3 linked regions of the Caenorhabditis elegans genome follow. The protein of the gene in region 2 interacts with the protein of the main gene of each other region in a pairwise test. Each region holds a gene or a part of one and is shown on either strand. Other genes may lie near its edges.

Region 1 (5,923 bases), on a different chromosome or scaffold from region 2:
CCGCTCACCGCCCGTCCATTCTAAAGTGGGCGATGATGATTTCGCAATACTCTTTCTCTTCCTATGAACAAACATTCTTTCTTCAATATATTCTTACTGCCATTCTTACAATCCTAAGTGTTGATCGGTCGATAGCCATTCCGATTCCTACTCAAGCTAAAGTCAAGTTGTTCTCACAATCATTCAATAATTCTACATATATGTACATAGCTTCGGGAATTATTTATTCCATACTTTTCCAGCTAAATTGAAGGTTAAAAAGTATACCATAAAAACATATCGATTCCAGGATCAAATTATTCCATGCAGCATGGAATGTGAAAAAACTTCAGATGATTCTGAAAAGTCATAATTTTCGATTCGTTAATTAATTTCGTTAATATGAAGTTAATTCTAAATAGGTGGGAAAAAACTATTATTCAAATTTTCATGAACAGATTAGCTTGAAGTTTTGTGAAAAGGTTTTAATATTAATTTTCGCAATAATTTTGTTTTAAACTCAGAATGATTCATGCCGCTTGAACTTTTTCTTTTCATTTTTTGTTGAACCTTCTCCCACCGGAAACATAAAAACACATGATCCAACTACCACCACTAAGCTGTCAACACTTTGCCCTTTGCTTTCGCCAAGCTCTTGTGAAGCAGCTCATGTCTTTTTTCTTTTTCATCCTTCCAACAACGCGCGCTCTCTCTCTCTTTCTCCGTCTCTATTCCTTTTCTCGTTGTCTCGGTTCCATCGATCTCCCATTCAACATACGGCCGAGGCGCCCTCTCTTGTCTGTATCTCTGGTCTCTCTATCATCTAGAGAATGAGTCCTTTTCTTTCTCCACCATCTCATCAAATTAAACGTCTATTTCGGGGGTTTTGTCTATCTAGTAGAGGTCCAACCACACTAGCCTTCAAAAATTTCACCACGCCCAATGCCCTCCACCACTGAGAATTGACCCTTGTCAACAACCTTGTCTTCTGAATTTTTGATGACAGAGGCAACGGCTTCTTTTGATTTTTGAAGTTTTGAGATTGCGACTTCCTTTTCATCATTGACTCATTTTTTTCGATAATCAAAAATTATACACTACGAGGGAGCGATGTTCTCTTTAATTTTTTTTTGCTGTAGCTTCTTTTAATTTTCAAAACAATTTATCAAAACATAGCTTTCTGAAATCACCCTGAAATTTCAGCTGAAACTTATTATTTGAAAAAATATTAGAAATGTATTTTTTAACTTCAAAAAATCTAGCACATTTTGATATTCACCTATCATAATTATGAGTTAGTGTTCCTATTGTTTTTATATCAATTAATATGTTCATTTCTGTTCCTAAAATATTTCATCACAAATTATTGAAAAATCACAGTTTCTTGAACATGTCGTTCACATTTTATTCCTTATCACTTCACACATCTCATGCCATCTGATAACGTACTTTGCATTACAAAATTGCAAAGTTCACCATTCAATTTCAAATAAAAAGCACTTTCGATCAATAAACGTCCACCTGTACCCGTTTTAGATTCGCTTCCTTTCCAAATAACAATTATAATGATCTCTTTGTGTTTTCGTGACCCGCAGAGGAAGCCAGCAGCTGCTGTTCACCTTTTCCCGAGAATTTCCCAGAAACAGCTAATCGATGTGATTTGCGCATGCACGCGTTAATAGCTCCGTTCAAATTTTTTTTTGTTATAATGGAAACAACAATTAACTATTTTGTCCTGTTTTTTCTTTGACAACATTTTATGACAAAAACCTAATTTTGGAAAACTAGAAAAAAATTAGAAAGTTCTTCCAAATATCTTCCAATTGTCAACTCTTGATAACTTCTTCGAAATCTCAAAGTGTTCGTTCTATTTGCCATGACTCAAGTGCTTTTCTCTTACTTTTGTGCAACTTTAGTTCTCAACTTTTTCTCATTTCAGAAGAAAAATGGCTCGCCGACCGTATGACATGCTCTTCAAATTGCTGCTAATAGGCGACTCAGGAGTTGGAAAAACTTGCATTCTGTACAGATTTTCGGATGATGCCTTTAACACCACATTCATCTCAACTATTGGTTAGTTTTTATTCAGAATCTAGTGATTTCAAAATAATTTTCTTTTTTCATTCAGGAATCGACTTCAAAATTAAAACTATCGAATTAAAAGGAAAAAAGATTAAATTACAAATCTGGGACACAGCTGGACAAGAACGATTCCACACAATCACAACATCATATTACCGCGGAGCAATGGGAATTATGCTGGTTTACGATATCACAAATGCGAAAAGTTTTGACAATATTGCAAAGTGGTTGCGCAATATTGACGAACATGCATCGGAAGATGTTGTTAAAATGATATTGGGAAATAAATGTGATATGAGTGATAGACGAGTTGTGAGCAGAGAACGAGGAGAGAAGATCGCACAAGATCATGGTATTAGGTACGTTTTGGGAGATTAAAAAGGATTAAAAAATAAAAAAATATATATATATAATCTCAAACAATTTTTATTTTCAGCTTCCACGAGACTTCAGCTAAATTGAATGTTCACGTCGATACAGCGTTTTACGATTTAGCAGAAGCAATTCTGGCTAAGGTAAAGTTTTAAAATGTTTTTAAAAATTAAAATTAAGGATGTGAAAATTCGAAATATATTAGTACATTCTTTGCACGGGCGAATATATGTTCTGATAGTATTGAAATCGACGAAAATGTGATAATTAGATTGCTAAATGCATTAGAATCTGATTTTTTCTTGTGAAATTGTTCGTAATTAGTTGAAAAATCTAAGAGCCTTTTTATTTTTGTCCTCATTACTCTTCTAGTACAAAATATGAAGAGCGAAACTTCTTCGTTTTTAATCATGCAAAAAATTTTAATCGCTTCGTCAAAAATTGCACCAGAATAATCTAAATTAGTTTCATTAATACGATTGTTTTTTTTTCATAATTTGTTTTTATTTTCAGATGCCTGATTCCACTGACGAGCAATCCCGCGATACGGTGAATCCAGTGCAACCACAGAGGCAGAGTAGCAGTGGAGGATGCTGCTAGATTCATGTTTTTCCCTCTTACTTCTCTATTCTCCAATTTGGTTTTGTAAATGTTTCATCCGGGTATTCATGAATTTGAATGTCAATACATCTTTTTTGCTTCTTCTTCTTTCCCCCTCATTTTTTTTCGAATTTTTGCCTCACATTCTTCCCTTCTAGGAAACATTTTCTCCATTTCCACTTACCTGTTCTAACTAATGATCGTTTAAATATGTTCTCCATTTCTTTCAATTTCCCTCCCCCTTTTACTTTTCTTACAAATCTTCTCGTGCGCAGAGACTTAATAAAATAAATTGCTCTTCTTCCACATGCTAACTAGCCATCTTTACCTTCATTGCTTACTCTTGTATAATTGACATGTCCTCCCCCTCCCCCCGAAAACCGGTCACTTGTTGAATATCCAACGAGGTCACTCTAACCAACTTCAGGATTATGACAGATGACACCGTTCAACGCAATGCTTTTCAAAATTATCTACCTAGTAGTACTACCTATTTCTTACTGTACGGAGTTATGTACATTCAACGAAGGAACCTGTGAATGGGATATCAGACCTCCGTGGAATGTTGTCTCGTTGGCAATTCTTCCACGTCATCAGCATCCTGGACTACTAAATATTTCAAAGACACCCGATGTTATCACTTCTGGTGAGAAATTAAATGTATTTTCTAATGTCTTCTAGACTACATCTCGTGTATAGCATGTTCACTATTAAATCGAAATGACTAAATACATTGGCCGATCGGAGAACCTGAAATTTAGCTTCAATGGTTAATTTATTATTTGCACAAAGATTCACAACAATCATCTACTATCTCAAAACAGGTTTTATACGGTAGATCGCAATGTGCTCATCACCACGATTTCTTGCCGCGATTTTACTATAGTCACATAGATTCAAGCAGTCTAGTAGACCCTCACGGATGATGTCACATGTTAAAAAAGTTACCGACATTTTTAAAGATCATGTTCTACGGAATGTACCACGTCGGCCGTTTTTCTCATTGAGACTACGGTAGAATCGCGATTTATTCGAATCGTGGCGAGATATCAGTTACAGTTATCTGTACTTTTACAATTTTCTTTTCAGTTTTAGTTATAGTTTTTCTAAACATGTACTCGAATTGGGGCAAAAGTACTAAATATATATATTTGAAAATCTACAATTTTGTACAATCATCAATGTTTTAGGTCAATCTTTTGGCAAAATGCCGAAATTTGGAATCTTAAATATCCGCTTCTGTACTCGTAATTTTCGTGTAGTAACAATGAAAACATTGAGAAAGTAATTTAGTATACTGAAACCATTTACTTCAAGTTTTGAAAAATCTAGGAAGGTCACCAAGTGTGTCCTTTGAAACTTGCGCACTCTAACATAAATGGGGAATTTTAAAGTCGCTCGTTTTTCAGAAGGACCATTCCTACTTGCACAAGGAAAGTTCGCATCAGTGCCCTCGTCAAGAGTTACTTCTCAGAAAATCTCAAAATCAGATCATATGAGAATACTTGCATATCGGTATCAACGTCGTGGAATGGCGACTTTGAGGGTATTTTCCCATTTTAGTTTGAAATTTATGAAAACTCTTACTTATAATTTCAGATTCTTTTAAAAAACCAAACAGACGAGATCTTACTTGATACCATATCCTCAAATGAGATAGAAAGAATCAAATGGCATCGTCGAAGTGTCATTTTTCCTCCAATTCCAGATTATAATCAAACAAGTGTTATATTTGAATGTGATAATATTCAAACTGCTGAAGATATCATTGCTGTCGATGAAATTGACGTGGCAACACCTGCAAATGTTATGTGGGCGGGACAAGATTCCAAGTTTTTTGATGAAGAAGATATACGAAGAAGAGAAATTCGGAGAAGTTCAAGTAAGTTGATATTGTAGACAATATTCGGATCCCTAAAACGTTTTTTTCGTTCTTTCCTTGTTTTTTACTAATGCGAATAATATTCTACAAAAATCCCAAGGACCATCTCTATAACTTTTAAAAATTCAGAATTATCAAATGTATGTACTCCAATCTCTTGTCATTTTCGTTCTTCAATTTGTTCCTGGCAATCAACGAATATTCAACTTCTTCCATCTAAAATTGTGAATGAAGCAGCTGGTGAATCAACTTTGACATCTTCTCCAGTTCGTTTACCAATTGATGCACCATCTTTCATTCAATTACAAATGTTTAATAGTCAAGGATCTGTGACTTCTTTATCATTTCGAAATATTGGTTCAATGAATGAAAAAGTGATATGGACTGAAAAAGAGGATTCATCAATTCCCGATTCAACTGGAACTCAAAATGGATGGAATCGAGTTTTAATTTCATTGGAATCAGTTCCAAAAGGAATTCCAGTAATTCTAATTCTTAAATCTATAACTGGTGCAAACGATTTTGTGGCTTTCTCCTCAATTGATCTCGTCGATGGAGAATCAAAGACTTTAACGTGTGGTAATTTATTTTATACTTTTAGTGGTGCATTTCTGTAGGCATTCCAGGGGCGTTTTCCTGTGGTTGAGCAGAGGCCGAGGAAAGTTGTTCACCCTCATTTTTTCTATAATATGAAGTTACAAAGGTTCAAATAAATTTGTACCGGATCAATTAAAGATAGAGTATCGTCAGTGGGGAAGTTGCTTATTCTAGGATAAAAATTGAAAGTTACAGTACCCCAAAGTACTTTTTTAGAAATTTTTCAACTGTCTAGGTTTGGAACCTACTATAATGCTCGAAGTAATTCATAAAATCTACATTTTTGGTTAAATTTGGCAAGTTACCGAATCAATGACAGAAAATTTGGAAACATCTAAAACGTCTTTGGAGTGTTTCATTATTATATTTGGTTATTTTGGAAGTGTATTTATAGAAAATCACCAATGACGA
Region 2 (9,645 bases):
GCTCTGGCTCGAATTTGGGAACTTTCGGATCAGGACAAAGATGGAAACCTTGATCGAATCGAAATGTCTGTTGCACTTCATCTTGTATACCGATCACTTCAATCAGACCCGGTTCCTGCACAGCTCCCACCAAATCTCATTCATCCTTCGAAAGCAATGTATGCTCACAGCTCACCGAATTTCGCTGCTCCTCCACATCCTCCACGTCCGATGATGGGATCGAGAGCAGGATCTGTGACGTCATTGGATGATGTGAACATGAGTCAATCGTATTCTGCAACGATGCCACGTGCATATCCACCACAACCAGGTCGTGCTTACTCTGCACAGGCTCATGTGAATGGATCACGAACCAGTGGTGCATCAACTCCGATATCTGCTTCTCACTCGATTCACTCATTTCCTGCTGGTGAATGGCCTATCAATACAGGAGATTATGCTGATCAATTTGCTCAAACTGATACGAATAAGGATGGATTGGTTGATGGCATGGATATGAGAGCTCCCATGATGACTACTGGATTGAGTGCACAGATATTAGCACATGTCTGGGCATTAGCAGATATAAAAAAATGTGGACAGTTGAATTTGGAGCAATTTGCTTTGACGTAAGTCTTTCAAGTTTACCAAATATCTAGTGTAACTAAATATTAATTTTCAGAATGCATCTTCTTGACATGGCAAAACGAGGCGAGTCCATCCCATCAGAACTGCCTTTACATCTGATTCCACCTTCATTCCGCCCACCTACGGAACCTTCAGCTTTGCATCATCCTGCTCAATCAGTTTCAACTCCACAGCTCCCAGAAGCAACTTCGATGGAAATTAAAGAAGCTTTGGAAGGCGAAAACGAAGAGATGAAGCAGCTCGCAGAGTCTATTCAATCAATGCTGGTGGAGCGGAAAACTGCAGAAGAAGCTGTTTTACAACTAGAAGCTGATATGACTATTAAGAACTCGAGTATCAAAAATCTGCAGGTTGAATTGGCCACCTTGGAGTCGACAGTTAAACAGTTGGAGCGACAAAAAGGTGAAGCCACACGAAGATTAGCTGATTATGATACTCAAATAGAACAGTTAGAATCAGCATGTAAAGCACAGAAAGAAACGAAAGAAGATACCGAGAAACGAATGCAACAAATTGATGAAGATGCAAAGAATGCTGAGGACTGTAAAGCAAATGATGAAAAAGAAATGGAAGAATTGAAAAAAGAAATTGAAATGCTCGATAATCAATTCAAAACTGTTCGTGGAGAAATTGTCAAAGAAACATCACAAAGAGAGCAAAAGGTGGCCGAATTGACAACTCTAGAACGAAAAGAAGCAAGAGATCAGATACAAATGGAAAAGCTGGATGCTGCAATCGAGAACACGACAAAACTAACAGAACAAGTATCAGATGCAGTCGAAAAATCCGAGGAGGAAATGGTTCAAATTCTGAGGTCGCAACAACGATTATTGTCTACTGTAATCGATCAATCGTTGCTATCCGATGACACTGTTTATGGAGAAACAGCTGGAACATCATCTCAAAATCATGTTCAACAACCACCTGATCCGTTTGCATCCGCCAGAGCAAGTAGGTTTATATTTTTAAGAAACAAAAAGAGTTATGAAAACTTTTATTCTGACTTAAAGTTTTGAAATATGAATATATAACATAAATTCAATTTCCAGATCCTGCTGCTGATCCATTCGCCCAAGTAGATCAGTTCGGCTCATCTGGACATTTTGATGCCGCTTTCCCAACTGATCCATTTGCTCAAGGAGGCTTCCCATCGGATTCTGGCTTCGCACAATCGGCTCCCGCAAAACCTGCTCCACCTCGCCCAGCTCCTCCAAAATCTGCTCGCGAAACACCTGTCAATGATCCTTTTGCGTAAGTCTTAGTGAGTATCAATTTATTTAAAGTCTAAATAATTTCAGCCCATCACAAGGACAATCAACTCAACCGGCTGGATTCGCTGATTTTGCGGACTTTGGATCGGCTTTCAATTGATTTTTAATAATTATACCTTACCCACTATAAGCCCCAACGCCAGTCAAATTGTTTTACTTTGCCCAAATGTTTACCTGTGCCAAGTCATCGACATAATTTATTGATGCACATTTTTAAGATTAGTTTTTTTGCACTTTCCCACTTGAATTGTCACTTTTCTAGGTTATGAAATCAGAGCAATAATGTTATATACTGTAGAATATGAATATGCATGATTATTATGTAAATTATGAGTTATAATATATAGTAAATGATTTGCAGATTAATTTTATGTTGCGTATTTGATATTTTCAGTCTCATGTGTAAAAACGGAGCACAAGTAAACGGGTTGAAGGGGGGGAAGTAAACCGTAAAAGAAATTGATAAGGAAAAAGGAGAATCACAGAAGTTTGAAAATAATAGTGAAAAAGTTGTGTGAAGAAGACATAATTATGCTAGAAATCGAAAGAAAATACAGATTAGATGTACAAGAATGTTCGTGTCGGATTTACATACAGTGGCCAGTATCCTGAAAATAATAATCGCTATATTAGAATTTATTTATATATTACTGTTTACCTTCAATTGTGTCAAATAGAGTTGTCGTTTAGTTTCTATAGTCTTCTGAGGGAACGGATTCAGTTCGTTGAATGCCACTTGAGCTAGCGACTTGAAGTCAATGATATGTTCTTGAGCTTTGCTGAGACATTGATGAACTGTGCCTGAAAATTCTTGTTAAAAAACTAATAAATTTAAAGTTGTAAGTCACAAACCAATAGTTTTACATTGAAGAACGTGAGGTTCGCATATTTTGAAAAGTGCCAGTGCGAATCGAAAAAGAACCTTATTTCCTTCATAGAGGAATGCATCGAATATAGTCAGATAAATAGAATGCGGGAGTACATCTACAAAACACGTCAGGAACCAACTGAGCGCGAAAAGTGAAAGATCAACTTCAAGAGCTCTCAAATGTGCAGCCAATTTTGGAAGCTTTTCTGCTACAAGATCGCGGAGAACTTTCTGATCGGCAACCGCTCCGATCAGTGAGCTAGTGTAATATCCTTCAGGTTGGAGATGTTCCACACATGCTACAAGGAACCAGAACGAATCCTGCTCATCCAGGTTTAACAGAGCAATTGCAGCAAGACGATTGAGTCCTTGGCAGTAGCCGACGTGAGAGTTATGGTATCGGAAGGCGTAGAGTACGTTTCGTAGTTTTTCTATGTTAGCAGAATCTGGCTCGTCGAAAAGTTTATTCGTGGGCAGAGTTCGAGCGAGGTCAAGATCAATCTGAAAAAATAATATGAGAAACTCGAATTTAGAATAATATAAATATACCTGTTTGATGGCTGCATCGTAACTTCCATCCTGCTTCTTTGTTCCAGCCTTTCTGAGCATACTTTGATAGTATCCATTACCCAATTCTGCTTGCTTATCCTTCACCCAATGTGTCACAATTATCTTCCATACACGACCTCTGTAGGCAGGTGGTACTCCAGTTCGAATAAGAGTTTTTAGATCAGGTGAAGACATGATTGCAGTCTGCCGGGATACTGTATTGTTGACAAGGAACGCATCCCACGATTGTAACCATTTCATGTATTCTTCAGATTGTTCCAATTTCGTTGCTTCCACTACGTCTCCCGCTTTTTTCATGTAAAACGTGGCAGTATCCAAAAGATCATCGCTTTCAGAAAAATCATCCTTTTTATAGAATCCCAACTGATCCGTGAGGTTTTGCTGAGATTCTCGAGGTGTTCTTGCCGACTCTTCGAGTAATTCTTTCAACACACCAGGTTCCATTACTGTAGAGCAAAAGTGATTATATTATAACAGAAAATTGTTTAAAAACTCACTTTTTCCTGGTTTTGTCGGAGACTTAAAATGGTTTAGAACCATCAAATAACGGCTTTTTAATTGGTAATAGCAGGCTTCGAGGTCGAAATTTTGACGAATCAGCTTCTTCTCTCGATCTTCCAGAGATTGAGTGATAGCATGCAATTGGACTATTTCCGCATTCAAAAACTGATTCTGGGTACGGTATCCTTCTACGAGATCTTGAAGTTCTCCAATATCACGAACATTTTCTTCGTCTAGAACCCTAAAATAAAATACTTTAAAATTTAAATTGTAAAAATAAATTCGTACTTCCTGGTAGCTTCTTCACAATCAACTGATGATACATCGACAAGAATGCCTTCAGGAACCTCAACATCCGATACAAGTCCATTTGCGTCTGCAGGAATATTCGAGCTTCTTTCAGATATCGATCCTAGTAAGTCTTCTCGATTTTCTTCTTCACACATTCGAAGAATAAGCTCTTCTTTTGTTCGTAATGATTCTCGGAAAGCTTCTACTGATTGTTGCAAATCATTGATCGTATCCTCAAGCCTTACATTTTGATCTTCAAGATCACGAACTCGTCGAGCATTCATGCTATTCGAAATATGTAATTCGGTGACTTGTCGCTCCTTTTCCAGTATATACTCTCGCATTTCCTCCTTATTATCTCCCATATCCTCGATTTTCTGACTAAAATTTCAACAATTTATTATGATTTTAATTAAATAATAAAACTCACAGTGCTTCATTATTTCTTTGAGCTAGTAGAAGAGCAGCTCTCAGCGAATCGACAACTTCCTCCAGACTTGAAACTTTATCAGACAATTCAATAACTTTCTCTTCAGGAGTTAGATCAACAGAAGATACTGTACCTTTCTGAAAATTTTACTCATAGTGAATGTTTGATCACTATTTGAACATACTCTACTTCCAACAACTGGTTCATCGGACGTATTTTGCCGACTTCTGCTCCAAGTCGAAAGATTTCTTCGAATAGCTCGAAAAGGAGCTTCTATACTTTGATCAGCTAGTCGCTTTAATACAGTTTCTGGGCTTTCGATTGTCTGAAAGTATAATTTGAAAGTTTTCAAGTTGTATGTTCACTTACCTTTGGCATCTGTAGAGATCGTTCATTCAGCTGTCCATTTGGATTCAAATACCATTCCGTTGCAGATCCTTCAGCTGGTATTTTCGTGTTGTCTGTGTCTTCAACCACTTCGGCAGTTTCCTCAGATGAGTGAGGAACATCAGAAGATGTTTCAGCGTCTGTTTCTTCTTCAGTTAGGAATTGTGTTCGTTTCTTTGGTTTTGGACTTCTTGGTGGTGGTACTGGAGAAGGAGACGAGCATTCTTCGAGGACCGAAGACGAATTTCTTCCCGTTAAAGACGAAATATCTAGACTTGAATCAGATTTTGATTTCGTTGCCTTCCAGCTTCTTTTCCGTGTACTTTGAAGAGCTTTCATCCATTCATTGCGTTGCTTGTCTGAACTACATTCCAGCGCAATTACTTCATTGTTAGAGCTGAAATAAGTCGATTTTTAACGAATTAATTATATTAAACTCACTGAATTTCAAAACGGCCTTTTTCTCTTGGATCATAAGTGAATGCTGCGCCACTCAATGAGACTCTTCCGATACATTTTATGTCATCTGAATCTTTATACCAGTAAAGATATGGAGTTGAGTCACAGAGTGCGAACCAATAGCGACGGCGTGTTATCAGACCGATCGAACGAACTTCGATCTGGAAACAGTGGATATCATTTTTGTTGATTCCTAAGATTGGCATTTAATGTTTTTAAAAGTTCTTCGGGATCAAATTTAAAATAGTAATGTCATTTTAAAATTTTCTGGACATTTTAAAATAAATCTTTAAATTTTCTGGAAATTTTTCCGAAAATAATATATTTAGGCCAAACTACCGTACCCGATGCAAGTATCCACAGATTGCCGAAGTTTTTAGTTCGCGAGCTGGTGGGCTGATTGTCCCCGGCGCCGCAGACATCCGCGTTATCTGAAGTTCTGAAAGTAGGAATAGATATGAGAGATTTAGAAAGAATAACAAAAGTAGTATTTGTATCGTATGTTCAACGACTCATCGCACTGGACAAACTGGTTTTTTATTCGACCACCAGGCGAGGGAAGGTGGCGAACGGAGAGGGAGAGAACGTATCGAATTTTTATGAAACAAAATGAGAAAAAAAGAAGTGAAATGCAGGAAGAGGTATTGAGAAGTGAAGTGAAAATGAAATAGAGTAAGAGATCAATATGAAATGATTAAGAGATGACTAAAATTAGTCATCAAATAATTTATTGTTGCTGTTTAATATTCGTCCAGTAATCGGGATAATCGGCGAGTTGGCCGATGTTGATAGTTTCAGAGCATCCTTGCATTGCACACTTGATAACTCGCTTTTTGCCAGCAAACTCATGAATTGAATCCCTATCGTAGACGTGTCCACAGTTCTGGAATATTGATTTATTGATATAAAATAAAACTTTTGTTGCAATTTGGTGGTGATGAAATGTTTCGAAAGATAAATAAACGAACAAGGATGGTCAATCAAAAAATAATGAGTCATAAATTGCAGATGATATATTTGCACAACCCGAATGACAAGACGGGGATGAAATGTTGAAAAATAGAGAAAAAATGTTAAAAACTTACCTTACTGATAACTGGATTGACAATATCTTTCTTCGAAATTGGATCCTTTCTACTATGTTGAACTTGCATCACTTCCATTTCATTTTCATCGTTTTTACTTTCATCCCTTATAGATTTGATAATGTCTTTGAAGTACTGTCGCTCGCCTTTCACATTTTTATGGGTTTTTTTCGCCTTCTCGTATAACTCCTCCAATGCTTTTTCCTGCAAAATTATTATTAATATAATTTGTTTAAATATCTGCAACGTACATTCGGAACCTCGTCTGAACCATCTTTCAGGTCATTATGCAACGCTTCAAAAATGTGTTGCATTTGAGCACCTTCAGTCTCCAATTCCATCAACTTCATTGCATCTTTCATCAATGTTTCTTTGAATTCTTCAGAATCTACTTCATTTGAAATAGCATTTTTTGAATTGATATGAAGAACATCCTCAGCAGCCTTTCTCAGACTTTTTCGAATAATTTCCATACTAGTGGCGAGCTGGGTAGACATCTGGAAGGGATTTCACAACTTATTGAACTTCTAAATAACAAAAAAAGATAATTCAAAAATCGTTATATACGAATAACATTAGCCTACAAATGAACATTTAAAATTTAAAATTTTTTATTGAATTAACCCATATTTTCAGAAAGTGATTATGCATGAAAATTTTGAACATAAGGCGATAAAAACCAGGCAGTGAATAAGAAGTGATTAGGTACCCATATTCAATTTTCCTATTCGGACAGAAAGATGGAAAAATATGGAATCTTTGTCGTTTCCCCAAGCTTCGTGTAGAGAAAGCAGCTTTTGTAAAGTAATTCGAACACTTGTTTCACATCGATCCAAATAGTCAAGATCCAACGTGTTGGAGACTGATCTGAAAATAGTAATTTTTCATTTTAAAAAGCTCAATCAAAAAAGCTGCAGTCATGGCTGTAAATGTTTTTTTTTTTGGAAAAAAATACGAAAAATTATGCTTCACAAAACAATTTTGAGTAGAAAAAAATTAAAGTCGAAATTTTAAAAGAAAGTACAATTTTGGTCAACTTGTTTTAGATTTTCAAAATGAAGTTTCAAACTTAATAATTCTTAGTTTTGGTTTTTTGTTGCTTTTTTTGTGTTTTCGGTGGAAAAACTTTTTGATCTGATCTGAAAGTTGAAATTTAAATCCAATGGCATTGAAAGTGCCAAAATATTAATTTAAATGTTTGCATTTAATAATTGTATAACTTACCGTAACCGTATCTCATCTGTCATAGTCATAAACATATCCATATTTTCATGAACCAATCGTCTGATTCCAATGCGTACAACAAGATCTGAGAGCTTCTTGTGACCATCTGTAATCGCATTTTCCACCTGCTTCAAGCTTGTTGCATTCACAATTTGATCACGTGCCGTTCGAAATACATAGCGAACCTGGAAAAGGATATTTGAAAATTATAAAAAAGATATTTAAGAAAACCTTATCAGAGAACAACTCTCTGAAATGTGACACAACTTGTTCGAGTGTGAATACAAAGAAACGAAGTTTTGTTCTAAGTGCTCGATTCATTTTCTCGATTGCATTCGTTTTGTGATGAGCGAGAGAAACATCGATTGTGGATTGTGGACATTTCATTCGAGATAGTAGTTCTTCTGAAACAAAAAATGTAAAATTACATCCTTGACCGGTTGAAAAGCTCACTGTCATTAGCCATCGTAACTAGCAATTCTCTGGTTCGATATGCGCTGTGTGCAAACTTCATACACTGATTCATGACGTCAATAACTTCGGGACGAATGAATGAAGCCAGCATATGCTCGAGCTGAAAAACATTTAATTTTCAAAATTTTATTCCAATGCTAATACCTTGCATGTGAATTCAGATTTTGTTGAAATCCATGAGAATATATTCATATTTTCCTTACTCATCCGACCTCTCGATGCCAACCAAAATGCATCAGCAAAGTTGGTAACATTGGAATCTGATCGGAAGACTGTTGTTGCATATTGCTGTGAAATCGAACCAATGACAACATTCTGAAAGAAAAAGTTTTTGTCAGACACCCATCAATTCTCCGAACTGATAATATTTTTTTTTATCAGTAAATTTAAATCACATGCCTCTAAGTCGACCCACAAGTTGACAAATCGGTTGTTTCTATGTAATTCATTGAGTAGCTCTTGTGCAAACTGATCCTGAAGTAGGAGACATGTATCAAAAAATAGAGATCGGAATTCATCAAATGGTAGAAGATCTTCAGTGAATTTAGCTGCGGCTCGTAATGAATCAAATGCATTCGTGAATGTTTTGACTGGAAATTCAATTAATCCAACACGGATCCGACATTTGACTGCTTCAAGAATGATTTCAATCAGTTCTTCATCCCAAAGTAACGATTGAACTTCTTTGATATCTCGACAAAGTAGAATTTGAGCATCCGGTTTGACGTCACTAAAAATAAAGTTTTAAATTAGTATTTACGGAGTTTTCGTTATAATTTTCAGATTATTTTGATTATTAGTAACATTTCAAACACCATCACTAATCACTTATTCTCCACACCCTGATATCAACCCGTTTATCTCATGGCCATTCTAGCGGAAATAAGTGAAATATGCAAATATCTCTCTAGATATCTCTTCCGAATATGCAATATTTCGCATGGAAATCAAATTAAAAAACGCTGGAGAAATTTGAGAATTGACATGATGGAATTTTTGGAGGAAATTCTGAAAACAGGTTGAATGATGAATGACCATAGCTAGAAAAAAGTATAAAAAGCAATGAGAGAAATCTGATAATTATGTCAAGTCTGAATATGACGTCGACAGCTACTGCATACGCGGCTATTACCGTCGGACTCGTTTCGATCGGATTCATTCTTTTTGCTGTTCAAGGTATCAGCTCCAACATCGAAGATATCCGAAATGAGATGAATATTGAGATGGATGCATGGAAGGTAAGTAAATATAAAGTCCGTTATATGTTATATAGTAATAAAAATGTGAAATTTTAGTTTGAAACTGACAGTCTCTATCGTGATATGCAAAAGTTCGGCCGTGTTAAACGTCAGTATGGAGGATATGGAGCTTCTGGAGCCAACCCAACACCTCACGGTGGATTCCCAGGAGGCGCATCCCCAATGAATCCAGGAAGCTTCCCAGGAGTTGTCGGAGTGC
Region 3 (5,826 bases), on a different chromosome or scaffold from region 2:
AATGTGCTCCTGTGAGCAATTTCGGGTGGAAAATTCCAAAATTTTGTAATTTCTAATGCAAAAGTTTGGAATTTTCACACCAAAATCACCGATAGAGCACATTTGCCACGGAAAATTGAATTTTAATCTGAGAGTTTAGCACATTTTTGCGAGAAAAACTGAAAAAAAAATTTTGCAGTTTTCTGAGTAAAATTGGTTAATTTTTTCAGGATTTTCCTGAATTTTGGGCTCCGAGAGCATTTTTGGATACTAATTCCACATTTTTCAATTTTTCTCGAATTTTCACGTGAAAAACGGCAATTTTCACGAATTTTCCCGAGTTTTTAGTAAAAATATCCAATTTTTATTGAATTTTTCAGAGTTTTCAGTGAAAAATTCCAATTTTTCCGAATTTTCTGAAAAAAAAAACCGAAAATTCGGAGAAATTCACGAAAAAATGGGTTTTTTTAATGGAAAAATAGCTGAAAATTCGGTGGAAATCGCGAAAAAATGAGTTTCTCTGAAAAAAAAAATAGCCGAAAATCAGGGGAAAACCGCGGAAAAATGGAGACAATTGGGCGAAAATGAGGAAATTTGGCGATTTTTTGGAAAAATCGTTGAAAATTCGGTGGAAATCGCGAAAAAATGGAGGTTTTTCTGAAAAAATAGCTGAAAAACCCGACAAAATGGCGAAAATATGGAAAAAAATAGGGTGAAAGTGAGAAAATTTGGAGTTTTTCTGGAAAAAATTGCTCAAAATCGCGAAAAAATGGAGAAAATTGGACGAAAATGAGGAAATTTGGTGATTTTTTAAAAAATTGCTTAAAATTCGGTGAAAATGCTGGAAAAATAGCTCCAAAACGATAAATTGTGAGAAAATAAACGGTATTTGAGTGAATTTGCCGAAAAAATAGGAGTTTTTCTGGAAAAAATAGCTGAAAATCCCGAGAAAATGGCGAAAATATGGAATAAAAAGGTTGGAAATGAAGAAATTTGGGGTTTTTTGGCGAAAAATTGTTTAAAATTCGGGAAAAACCGCGAAAAAATGGAGAAAATAGGTTGGAAATGAGGAAATTTGGTGATTTTTTTACGAAAAAAAAAGAAAATTCGGTGAAAATGCTGGAAAAAAGAGCTCCTCGCTAAAATAGGCGAAATTTGAGTGAATTTGCCGGAAAAAACTGAGATTTTTCTGATAAAATAGCTGAAAATTCGGTGAAAATCGATAAAAAATAGCTTAAATGATGAAAAATCGCTGAAAAATGAGATTTTGCTGAAAAATAGGTAGAATCTATAAAATTTCGGGGAAAATGATGGAAATAATAGAAAAATGGGTAAAAGCACACACAAAATTAGGCTGAAAATCAATAAAATTAGGTGAAAAATGACAAAAATCTCCCAAAAAAATCGATAAAAAAATAGCTGAAAATCTGCAAAAAATCGATGAAGATATGCTGAAAATCGCTGAAAACGAGAGAAAAAATAACACAAAAATCCAATAAATTACAGGAAAAATGTTGCAATTTTATAGCAAAAAAACGGGGCTTAAAGGCACTGAAAATGTGTGAAATTTGACAAGAATTATGTGAAATTGGGGGATTTTCGGGTGGTTTTTTGTACAATTTAGCGGGGAAAATGGACGAATTTTACATGAAAAATGGGGGAATTTTGGGGGAAAATCGACCTAATTTAGGTAAAAATCGATAAATTTTGCATGGAAAACGGGGATTTTTCGCGGAAAAATCGATGAATTTTGCACATTAAAAACAGCAATTTTGGGGAAAAATTGACAATTTTAAGACAAAATTGGCATTTTTACATGGAAAAGAACTTTTTTTTTAGGTGAAAATCGATGAATTGTGCATGAAAAACCAGCGATTTTAGGTCAAAATTGACATTTTACATGAAAAAAGGGCCTAATTTAGGTAAAAATCGATAAATTTTGCGTGGAAAATAGCTATTTTAAGTGAAAATCGATGAATTTTACACGGAAAAACGACAATTTTGGGGGAAAATTGGCGATTTTAGGCCAAAATTTGCATTTTTGCTCGGAAAAATGGCTAATTTAGGTGAAAATCGATAAATGTTACATGAAAATTGGAAATTTTGAGCCGAAATTGGTAATTTTACATGGAAAACAGCGATTTTGGGGGAAAATTGTCGTTTTTACATGGAAAAAATGGCATTTTTACATGAAAAAGTGTGGCAATTTTAAGCCAAAATTGGTATTTTTGTATGGAAAATAGCTTTTTTAGATGAAAATCGATAAATTTTGCACGAAAAACGGCGATTTTTGAGAAAAATTGACATTTTTACATGAAAAAGTGGCAATTTTAAGCCAAAATCGACATTTCCTCATGGAAAATAGCTATTTTAGGTGAAAATCGATAAATTTTGAATGAAAAACGGGGATTTCAGGTGAAAATTGGCAATTTCAAGTCAAAATTGACATTTTTACAGGGAAAAATAGCTATTTTAGGTGAAAATCGATAAATTTTGCATCGAAAACAGCGATTTTGATGGGAAATTGGCGATTTTAAGCCAAAATCGGCGATTTTCCATGAAAAACGGCCATTATGGGGGAAAATTTGCGATTTTAAGCCAAAATCGGCGATTTTACATGAAAAAATGGTTATTTTAGGTCAAAATTTGGCAATTTACATGAAAAAAAACGGGCTATTTTAGGTGAAAATTGATGAATTTTGCATCGAAAACAGCGATTTTGCTGGGAAATTGGCGATTTTAGGGGAAAATTTGCATTTTTACATGGAAAAAGGCCTAATTTAGGTTAAAATCGATAAACTTTGCATGAAAAACCAGCGATTTTAAGCCAAAGTTGGACATTTTTATATGGAAAAAACGGCGATTTTGAGGGAAAATTGGCGATTTTAAACCGAAATTCACGTTTTTACATGGAAAAAACAGGATTTTAGGTCAAATTTTGACAATTTACATGAAAAAAACAGGATTTTAGGTGAAAATTGATGAATTTTACAGTAAAAATATCGATTTTATGTCAAAATGAACGAATTTTCCGCGAGAATTTCCTAGCATCCACACATTCCGCCGCCACCACTGGAGCCCGTCGGTTGTCCCAACCGAAAAGACGGGCGGTCATTGTCCCATAAGTCGGGCGTTTGAATGATTTTCTCGATAAGCTCCTCAAATGTGCACTGTACACCCTCCTTAGTCTTCGCAGAAGCTTCAATGAATAGTGTGCGGTGGCGTTTTGCGAATTTTAGGCCTTCCTCGCGGGTTACCACTCGATTTGGCTGAAAATTATTTTTTAGGCCAAAAATCGAACAAAATCGGCTTTTTCGCACCATATCAATCTTGTTCGCGACCATCATCTTGATAATATTGTCATTTGTGCAATAAGTATCGACTTCTTGCATCCAATGATTCAATTTCTCGAAGGAGCTGCGGCTAGTGACGTCATACACGCAAATTACGCCCTGTGCTCCACGATAATAGCTCGGCGTGAGGGTACGGAACCTCTCCTGGCCGGCGGTGTCCCAAATTGCGAGTTTTACACGATTTCCGTCGATTGCCATTGAAGTTACGCGGAAATCCACGCCTAAAAAACAATAAATTTAGGGTTTTTTTGGCCTAAAAATCAAAAAATCCAAAAATCCCTGGAATTTCCACGAACCTATCGTTGCAGCCTGCTCAGGATCGAAGACATCGTCCACGAATCGTAGCATTAAGCTGAAAATTTTTGAATTTAAATTGATTTTTTTAAATTTTTTTTGGGCGAGAAAACCCCTCACCTCGACTTCCCTACGCCACTTTCGCCGATAATCAGGATTTTGAGAGTTGTGAGGGGGCTTGAACTGTCGTCGGACATCTGGAATTCGTAAAAACGAAGGGAAAATGCAGGATAATTTTTTTTTTGTTGGGAAATTTACGTTTTTAAGGATAAAAGATAAAAAACTCGATTTTTCAGGGTATTTTCCCCATTTTAAGTTAATTTTTTAACACTTTTAAATAGATTTTTCACCTTAAAACCCAAAAATTTGCCGAAAAATCAATAAATTTCCCTTCGAAAATGTCAGATGTCGTTGCACGAGACGCTCTTTCGGAAAAGAGAGCGATGGAGCGCACTTGCACTTGGCACGATGCCAAGTGCCTGTCGTGGTGAGACCCGATGGCGCGAAAATGGATTTGTTTGAAATTTGTTTTTTTGTTTTTTTAATTTTTAAACGTTTTTCGTGTTTTTTATTTTTATTTTTTTTGTTTTTTATAATTTTTCCAAATTTTTATCAGTTTTCAGCAATCAAAAAAAATGCAAAAATCAATCGACGACATGATCAACGAAGTTCTCGCGGTAAAAGTCGAAAAACTGCCGAAAACCCAAGATTTTTCGGATCTCCAAGAAGTTTGCGCCTCCAAACTGCAGATAATTAACAAGGAAATGGACGAGGCCGATCGGAAGCTGGAGGAGACGCTCGAGAAGCGAAAATTGGTGGAAAAACGTGAGAAATTTAGTGAATTTTCACAATAATTTTCCCATTTCCTAGAACTCGAAGACCTCCAGGAGCAGTATAAAGTCAAGGAATTCGCGTTTTCTCTTCAAAAAGAGTTTCAGGATGAGCTGAAGAAGGTCGCCGAGGAAATTTTCTAACAATTTTCATTATTTCTGTACATATAAAGTTCTGTATTCCTTAACCCCGTTGTTTTTCCCAGTTTTCTGTACTTTTCATGCATTTTATACTTATTTTTCAGCGTTTTTCAATGATTTTTCAGGCTCAAAATCCTCATTTTCAGCCCAAAAATGACGGATTTAGACACTTCATCCGCTCAAATACGGGCTTCGCAGAGCGATTTATCGATTGCCAACTCATCGCCACGTCTGCTGGAGTCCAACGCAACTACTTCTACAGCGGTAAAATCGGATTTTTAGCGGCGAAAAAAATCGAAAAAACGCATTTTTTGCTGGAAAATAAGCAGAAAATCGTGTTTTTCGCCCTGGAAACCGCCTAAAAACACAATTTTCAGTGCATCAACGACGTTCAACAGCCGGTTCGACGCGATTTGAGCTCGGAACTCCTCTGTCCACTGTGTGATCAGCTTTTCGACAGGGTTAGAACATGGAAATACCGAGGATTTCAAGAAAAATTGCGTGAAAAATGGCGGATTTTCCATTAAAAATCGCTTAATTTTACCCATTTTTGACCCAAAAATGTGCAATTTTCGTCTTTTTCCAGCTATAAATGTGAAAAATCGGGGAAAAATGCGAAATTTTCTCATAAAAACTTGAAATTCCGAAAATTGTCTTGTTTTTGCCCATTTTTCCAGATTTTCAGCCAAAAATCACGATTTTTTGGGGATTTTTAGCTAGAAAACCGCATTTTTTCCGATTTTTAGCATAATAATCACAGATTTTCTCGGATTTTTACAGTTTTTTGCCGATTTTTACGATTTTTAGACTAAAAACTTTGGATTTTTAAGATTTTCAGCACAAAAACCCCAGTTTTTCTCGGATTTTTACAGTTTTTAGCTTAAAAACCACAATTTTTCAGATTTTTTTCGATTTTCAGCTCAGAAACCCCAGTTTTTCTCGGATTTTTACAGATTTTAGCTTAAAATTTTGGATTTTTCCGATTTTTAGCCCTAAAAACCCCAATTTTGCCGGATTTTTTCGGTTTTTAGCCAAAAAACTCCAGTTTTTCCCATATTTTAACGATTTTTAGCTCGAAACCCACAATTTTTCCGGACTTTTACAATTTTTAGCCCAAAAAACCCCAATTTTTTCGGATTTTTCTGATTTTAGCTCAAAAATAACCGATTTTTTTCGGATTTTTCTGATTTTAGCTCAAAAATAACCGATTTTTTTCGATTTTCAGCTCA

Evidence for each region. Proteins that work in one complex are often made in the same cells at the same time.
Region 1: the proteins of tbc-2 (region 2) and rab-10 interact in a two-hybrid assay, tested with the Caenorhabditis elegans proteins (2 studies listed by BioGRID).
Region 3: the proteins of tbc-2 (region 2) and rab-18 interact in a two-hybrid assay, tested with the Caenorhabditis elegans proteins (one study listed by BioGRID).

Annotation. Positions count from the first base shown.
Region 1 is NC_003279.8:6,454,475-6,460,397, reverse strand, and holds rab-10 (Ras-related protein Rab-10), read left to right. Parts: upstream 1-1,918; 5' UTR 1,919-1,925; coding exon 1,926-2,052; intron 2,053-2,107; coding exon 2,108-2,420; intron 2,421-2,497; coding exon 2,498-2,576; intron 2,577-2,946; coding exon 2,947-3,033; 3' UTR 3,034-3,116; downstream 3,117-5,923. Other genes in the region: mam-8 (MAM domain-containing protein), read left to right, coding at 3,472-3,679, 4,443-4,579, 4,633-4,915, 5,045-5,494. UniProt on the Caenorhabditis elegans protein: The small GTPases Rab are key regulators of intracellular membrane trafficking, from the formation of transport vesicles to their fusion with membranes.
Region 2 is NC_003280.10:5,821,601-5,831,245, forward strand, and holds tbc-2 (PH domain-containing protein), read right to left. Parts: upstream 5,844-9,645; 5' UTR 5,827-5,843; coding exon 5,749-5,826; intron 5,566-5,748; coding exon 5,387-5,565; intron 5,343-5,386; coding exon 4,928-5,342; intron 4,884-4,927; coding exon 4,743-4,883; intron 4,696-4,742; coding exon 4,559-4,695; intron 4,510-4,558; coding exon 4,126-4,509; intron 4,079-4,125; coding exon 3,834-4,078; intron 3,783-3,833; coding exon 3,316-3,782; intron 3,268-3,315; coding exon 2,751-3,267; intron 2,700-2,750; coding exon 2,557-2,699; intron 2,507-2,556; coding exon 2,486-2,506; 3' UTR 2,256-2,485; downstream 1-2,255. Other genes in the region: ehs-1 (Eps15 (endocytosis protein) Homologous Sequence), read left to right, coding at 1-608, 662-1,578, 1,677-1,878, 1,926-1,998; ZK1248.11 (E3 SUMO-protein ligase NSE2), read right to left, coding at 6,132-6,287, 6,490-6,693, 6,741-6,986; gtap-1 (Dynein heavy chain 7, axonemal), read right to left, coding at 7,191-7,356, 7,714-7,898, 7,945-8,117, 8,167-8,287, 8,332-8,502, 8,587-8,917; col-74 (Nematode cuticle collagen N-terminal domain-containing protein), read left to right, coding at 9,285-9,425, 9,483-9,645.
Region 3 is NC_003281.10:1,076,659-1,082,484, forward strand, and holds rab-18 (Ras-related protein Rab-18), read right to left. Parts: upstream 3,824-5,826; coding exon 3,747-3,823; intron 3,685-3,746; coding exon 3,629-3,684; intron 3,554-3,628; coding exon 3,300-3,553; coding exon of another isoform or gene 3,249-3,299; coding exon 3,024-3,248; 3' UTR 2,808-3,023; downstream 1-2,807. Other genes in the region: kbp-4 (KNL (kinetochore null) Binding Protein), read left to right, coding at 4,262-4,451, 4,497-4,600; par-2 (RING-type domain-containing protein), read left to right, coding at 4,751-4,861, 4,975-5,058. UniProt on the Caenorhabditis elegans protein: The small GTPases Rab are key regulators of intracellular membrane trafficking, from the formation of transport vesicles to their fusion with membranes.